2 linked regions of the Schizosaccharomyces pombe genome follow. The protein of the gene in region 2 binds, or shares a complex with, the protein of the main gene of each other region. Each region holds a gene or a part of one and is shown on either strand. Other genes may lie near its edges. The genes, in order: lsm5 and lsm2.

What was found.
Region 1: lsm2 (region 2) and lsm5 share a complex: the UniProt entries of both Schizosaccharomyces pombe proteins name them as parts of the heptameric LSM2-LSM8 complex.

What each region holds. Positions count from the first base shown.
Region 1 is NC_003423.3:3,299,187-3,302,653, reverse strand, and holds lsm5 (U6 snRNP-associated protein Lsm5), read right to left. Parts: upstream 1,360-3,467; 5' UTR 1,351-1,359; coding exon 1,326-1,350; intron 1,225-1,325; coding exon 1,101-1,224; intron 1,055-1,100; coding exon 988-1,054; intron 940-987; coding exon 913-939; 3' UTR 519-912; downstream 1-518. Other genes in the region: RNA polymerase II nuclear import protein Rtp1, read left to right, coding at 1,828-3,467. UniProt on the Schizosaccharomyces pombe protein: Component of LSm protein complexes, which are involved in RNA processing and may function in a chaperone-like manner. Component of the cytoplasmic LSM1-LSM7 complex which is involved in mRNA degradation by activating the decapping step.
Region 2 is NC_003421.2:2,143,151-2,146,699, reverse strand, and holds lsm2 (U6 snRNP-associated core protein), read left to right. Parts: upstream 1-1,714; 5' UTR 1,715-1,775; coding exon 1,776-1,835; intron 1,836-1,888; coding exon 1,889-1,990; intron 1,991-2,342; coding exon 2,343-2,445; intron 2,446-2,503; coding exon 2,504-2,529; 3' UTR 2,530-2,751; downstream 2,752-3,549. Other genes in the region: wtf meiotic drive antidote Wtf23, read right to left, coding at 1-208, 258-587, 804-939; putative signal recognition particle subunit Sec65, read left to right, coding at 3,369-3,549. UniProt on the Schizosaccharomyces pombe protein: Component of LSm protein complexes, which are involved in RNA processing and may function in a chaperone-like manner. Component of the cytoplasmic LSM1-LSM7 complex which is involved in mRNA degradation by activating the decapping step.

The sequences.
Region 1 (3,467 bases), on a different chromosome or scaffold from region 2:
AAAGTTTAATGGTTTTAGCTGAGTTTTGTCGTTTTTCTCTAACTATTTAGGGATAAGGGAAGAGAGGATTCAAAAATTTCTTAATAATCCAAATGTATAAATGATGAGATATATAAATCCAAAGTATTAAACTTCGTTTTCATTTTAATTTTACTTTTTCGTTTCCTTCATAAAACTGCTGAAGATACTAATTCTCAAAATTTTGAGTTTACAATAACAAGGTTAGTCACTTTAGTTTATATTAATGATAAACAACAAATATTCATACTTTTTCCAGTGTATAATCATAATAAATCCCCATTTTGGCCAACATGAACAAAAAAAAGTCAGTATGATTCAACCAGATGGGCTGGAAGAGATAACTTGAATAGTAAGATCCTGTAAAGGCTACTCAAATCAATGTTTAGTATGTTGTCTTTCAAATTAGAAGAAAAATTGCTATCATCGTAGGCTATGCATATCCCGTTTATGCCAATTTCTACAGTCAGATTACATTCAAACAATTAACTTTAACACAGTTTACATCATCTGAAATAACAATTCATTTTGGTAGTATAATTTGAGATACAATCACTAATAGGAAAAATTATGGAGGATGGAAGTATTAAGCCTTTATTTTTGAATAATCACTCATTTCAGAAACATGCAACCAGTCCTATAAAATACCTTATTTTTGCAATCAAATTCTTTAAATAACTCGATCAAATTTAACCGTATCCGAAGACATGGCTTTACCAACGCTTGTTGTTCAATTAATGTAAAAAGTGAGACTTGGGTCTAGATATTTTACCATATATGGAGTGCACACAGTATGAGCTAGATTTGGCGTGCAATATATCTCCATTTGTTTGATAATAACAAAAATCACTCTTCCTTCATCTTCAAAAGACTGTTAAATAGCCAAGTACCAACTTATTCGGGTTTTCCACCAGGAATCAACTAGATAGTTAGTGTACAAAAATTCCTTTATTATTTTCATTGACATACCATGCACATCCCATTTCCGTTCAAAAGCATTTCAGAGTGTTTTTCGGTAACGCCGGTAACAGTATCACTTCATAGAAATTAGCAAAGATAATTAAAGTTATTATATTTCATACTATTCTGTAACATCTTTTAGAACAATATTCACATAATCATCGAATCCAACAAGTGTCCCCGCAAATTCGCGTTCACTTTTCATGATCACCCATAAGTTTGATCCAATGCATTTATCAATTAATTCTGCTTGTTAGCATGAACAGATTTACCCAGGGCATAAATCAATAATTTTTCCCTTTTCTTATTATGAAACTAATTTAGAATGTACTAATAAATCTACATACCTAAAGGTAAAATTGTCATCGACATGGTGGAGGTGGATTGCAAGTTCACATAAATTGCTACTATACAAGAACCATGCTATCATTTTACCTGAACACATAGTGTTAAGGGAATATCATTTATTGGAATCTTGAAGATTTTATAAATAAGAGGTTATCGTTTCATTAAAACTGTGGACATCTTATTCGGTCTTATTTTTTGGTCTTGTCGTTTGTCAAAATTACACAGTTGTCGAATAGCGATCCATTTCTTTGAATGAATCCAAGCTAAAGCTGTCTAGTTATAACTTACCCCAAGTATTTATTGCTACGATCAGGAATTAGTTATCCACATATTTTAGCCACAAAGTTCGTTAAATAATTAAGGTTTCCGTACCTGGTTCTCATATTCTAAATATTTGCTATTGCTATTTCTTAGTACGGAAAGTATAAGAGTTGGTTTTTTGCCTTCACTTACTTATAACGTTCACTACTTAGCAAGTGAACTTTACAAGCAATATTCCGCATGGATGCAAATCAGAAGTTATTAGATTTTGCGAAGCTTTTAAATCAAAAGAATGATTCTCGTCCTGTAATTGAAAAATTGAAGGATAATATAAGTGGTGATTTATTGAATTACTTCCTCAATCTTCTAGAGGAAATCTCAAAGTTGGATACAGACCAACCCTTAAGTGTTACCTCTCTACGATGTTTGCAGCTTTTTGTTCATCTTACATTTTTGCTTGGTGTTTATACTCAACTCCCCAAAGAAATGCTATCGCAAGCGAAAATTAAGGCATTACCTATTTATACCCCCAAAAAAAATCTGGTCCAAATTTACAATATTTTACTTCCTTTATTGTTAACTCCAAGTTTATTACAAGGTCCACTTAACCTTCACTATGCCGACTTATTGTTGCTTCATTTATATTTGTTGAACTGCCATGAACAAGGTTCTCTCATTGAAGAACCCAGGCCTTTATTTTTAGACCCTTCATGGAAAGAAAAAGTAACGAGCATAATGTCTCCACAAATGGTTGATCCATCTAAAATGATTTCTTCTTGTTTATCGCTATTACAACCGAATGTAGATAACTGGTTGCAAGATAAATTGAAACATTATTTAACTACCTGTCTTTGTAGAGAAACTGGCGTGCAAGGATTTCTCAAAGTTTATATGCAAGCACAGCCAAATTCAATCGAACGCGCACGACAGGCCGCTCATCTGATTTCATCTGTTCCAAAGGATATCTCACCACAGAAATATTTTTCGTGTATTCTTCCTCAGGTTTGGAGCCTTTTCAGCACTCAACCTCGATTAGCGTCACAACTCATAATTGCTGTAACAAATACACATTGTGATATTGTTACCTCTTTTCTTCTTAAAAAGCTCCAAATACTCGAAGCACCGAAAGTCATCGATTTATCCCCATTTGAAAATGCATTGGACGTTCTTCAAGTATTAGTCTACATTCAAAACGATGATATAATTCGCATATGTGAATCTTGTGTACCAAGTCTTTTGCACTTACAGGAGAACACAACTTTACGTTCTAAAGTTCAGGATATCTTGCTTCGTATTATATCAGTCTGTGGTACCAAATCGCTGTTAAGGAATTTAACAAATGCAAAACATCTTCGTATATTTTGCGAGAGACTGACAAAATCACAATTAGCAATGTTCCTGCCTAACTTGTTAGAAATATGGGTCCAGCAGCCACCAGACAAGCGTTTGGAATTACTCGAACTTGTTCAATATGCCCTGTCTAATGTTGATTCAGATGAAATTCCTAGTAATGTAATGCTGTCTGTCTGCACTAATCTGATCAATGAAGTGGCTAGTCAAAATAAGTATTCCTCTACAGAAATATCCCAGATTACTACTAACCGAGAAGTTGAAGAAGAGAACGAAGAGATTCTTCTTGTTTTGCTTAACATTATATCTTCAGTTATCGGGAGAAACGCTGAACTAGATTTGGAAAACCCTATTTCTTCATTACTTCCTGCACTAGAACAGCTCTCTAATTATAGTAACCGAGAAATTTCTGACCTTGCAAAGGACGTTTACAAAACTCTTATACAATCTAAAGATGACTATTCGTTAGCACTGTCATATACTCAAAGTGACTTGGTGCCAGTGAGAGGACAAGGAGTTTATATGTTAAG
Region 2 (3,549 bases):
AGATCGCCAGATTTGACGCAACCAAAGAGTATACAACAAATGATTAACCAGAGTAACCAAATTATAATCATCATTTCTCTTCTTATGTTGAAAAGGCCAATAGAGATCACCTTTACACATTGTGCCAAGAAAACTACAGTCACCTTTATACATTGTGCCAAGAAAATTACAGTTACTTTGACTGCCTTGATCCAAGTTTCATAGAAGTCTAATGAGTTAGTGACTGAAGGTAAGAATTGACCTATCGTGTCACTTACACCATAAAGAAATAAAAATCATTAGGCAAATAGCACACCACACTCCAAAATATACCCATTCATCTTTGCCATAATCTTTAAAGAGAGCGTCCTTATACGTTAGATAACAAACTGCGGGTACGTTTAGCACAAAGATTGAAATGAATGATAAAAATGCTTTTTTCAACGGAGAGGTAGAAGAATTATCTGCCGTCCCGGAAGAATGGTTTTCTCTATGTGTAATAGAAAGACTGTCTTCACCATAATCCGGAGGAGTCGTAGACTCGTCCGTATTAAATAAGTTAGGGTTGTTAGCTCCCATTTGTTTGGGATCCTTTAAATTTATATTTTCTATATTGTTAGCAAAATTCAATGGTAACTTTAGAATATTTTTTAATGGGAAAGGAAAAAAGAGCGTGCCCTGTTAGACGAATTTATACTCGTAATATGTCAAGTTGTAAACAAACAAACACAACAAAAACATTGTAAATCAAAACAAACAGACACAGCAAATAATCCTTGACACACTCAATTCTTTATCTTATCTACCAACAACACAACACTTACCTGAATATGGAGGCAATGTGCTCCCATCTTCTGAATTGTATTCTGGGAGAGGACCTTTTTCCAAATCAATTTCATTATCGTTTTTTGCACTCAATTCATCCATAGACGACCTCAAGGGGTAATATTTATTCTTCATTTTCTAACGACAGTCTATTATTTAATGATATACACACAAATAGTTCAATTGTTGTGATTGCGACAAACGAAACAGCAAAATCAAGAATATTCACTCTGTAGTCCAATTCCAATCGCTTTAAAGACTTTTTAACAAAATAATAAAATTGTTCAAACAAATTTCCAACTAATTCCTTCAAACAATGGCATAAAAAAAGAAGAACGAAAAAACTGAACGAGGCAGTGAATTGCTTCTGACACATTTATTTTGTCACTGCCCTTTTTATTCACCCCAACTTAGATTTCCTTAAAACGTTTTTGAGAAGCAAAACGTTGTAGTATAATATAATGTCAGCTACGCAATTTGGTATCTGCTTTAACGATTACATAGAACTGCGGTAATTTTTCCTTTGTGACCTATGATATTACAATACACAGGTACTATAAGTAGCAACTGAGTTTAGGTATTGTACTATCAAGTTGTATTGTTATCTATTGCAAATACAACTTATAATTGTGTAAGGAATGAGGTTTAGCAGTAACTCTATTTACGTTGTTTAGATGATTTGGATTTTAATAGATTATTGTTAAAATTAATATCAACATCGTATCATCTGCGGTGCGATATGTAAATGGAACATGTGAACATATAGTGACACTCAACGTACTGTATCATAACTAATCTCGGTGACAGCCTTAATATGATTTTTTGATTTCGTAAATCCTCGCAAAAAAATGTACGAGCTCCAACACAATACCGTGTAAATGGGCTTTGCCTGTACATGACACATTCTTCTGTTCGCTGCATCTTTCTTACTTCATCCAAAAGCGTGTAAAACGAGTCTTCTCCCGATTATAATGTTGTTTTACTCATTTTTTAAGACATTAATAGACACGGAAGTTACCGTGGAATTGAAGGTATGCCCCTACTTGGCTTTTTTGATCGCGTTATGAGGTTAACCAAACTATAGAATGATATGAGTATCCGAGGAATTTTGAAATCTGTTGACCAGTTTTTAAACGTTAAGCTTGAAAATATTTCTGTGGTCGATGCGTCGAAATATCCTCATATGGTATGCTTTGCAAGTTATCGGGAATTGAAAGAGAAATAAATGATTTCTACGATCGGTAGGGTTCGGTTTATTCATTTTATTTAGGTTTTTGATTGATTTTTGAAAAAAGTCTTGTCCAAATCGATTATGTACAACATCTTACATGAGAGGAACATGAATCAATCAGCTTTCCCAACGTATATGCTACATTCTCAACTTTTAAAATCTAGGTTTTTCATTAATTGAACAATTTAAGACTGATCATAAAGTGCGCCTCACTTTCTGAATTCTTCGATCTATCCTTTTTTTTTCGTTCCTACTCTTAACACTATCTCGTGCTATTATTCCAGAGTTATAACTAATAATTTATTAGGCTGCTGTTAAAGATTTGTTTATTCGTGGTAGCGTTGTTCGTTACGTCCATATGTCAAGTGCATATGTTGATACTATTTTATTAGCTGATGCTTGTCGTAGAGGTAAGCCATGATTTGTTAAACACTGAAATTTTAGCCTTATTAACTCACTGGTTTTTAGACTTGGCTAATAATAAGCGTCAATAATTCCTTTGAAAATTTCCTTTTTTTGGTCAATATATTCGGAAACCGTGAACTAATTGCTTATTTAATCGTAGTTCGGTTATTCATCATGTGTCCCATTGCGATTTTTTTCATGCCCGCAAAAGGAATATACATGTGTATATACATCATTTTATTAAGGACCATTGTTGTTTGAAGGTATTTTCCTCCCCTTTCATTCATCCATATTCTTACTACCTTTTCGCTTTTCTTTTAAATCCAGCTTCCCTATTATGCCTGAAACCGATCCCTTAAAATTACCGTTTTATTATCTTCAAAAAAAAAAATTAAGTAGAAAATTGTTGGCGTTTACATGATTTTTGTGTACGGCTTCTTCCATTAATATAGTTGATGAGACTTTGTCAATTATCATAAAATACATACATCGTTACATATCGGTTTATTGCTGCGAGAGGGAATTTTTAGCACTCATGCATCATTAGCAACAGAGCGTTTGTATTACTTTAAAAGATATCCACTCAGATTTGTGTTTTACAAGTCTAATTCTTCTTCCAATTTATTTTACTGATTTCATTTGTAGGATTCAACCGATCTCACCTTTAAGCCAATCAGGCACACTCTCTTTCATCGTTTTTTTAATATATTTTGTATTCTTTTAAGATCTTCCCAGTGAATGATACGATTTTACTTTTTTAGTGTTCTTAGTTTTATTCTAAGTTAATCATGAAAAACGTCTTCTTTTTAAAAATAATTGAAATGTTCAGTAGTAAGTTGAAAGTAAAATCGTATTTATCTACTACATACGGTTGAGCAGCATAAGTATGATATCGCATTTGCTGCCAACTACCTCACTCACCATCCACATGCCATCTATCATATTATATCCCATTTACTTTGACAAGAGCCGTCCACGTAGGTTTCGTTGTGTACCAAAAGACAAAGCAATTTTAAATCCGTTAGCTAAAAATATTGCCGATGTTGTTCGCGATTTGGGATATAAATGTAAATTGGAACCATTGAAGACACATCCTGCAGATTGGGTCA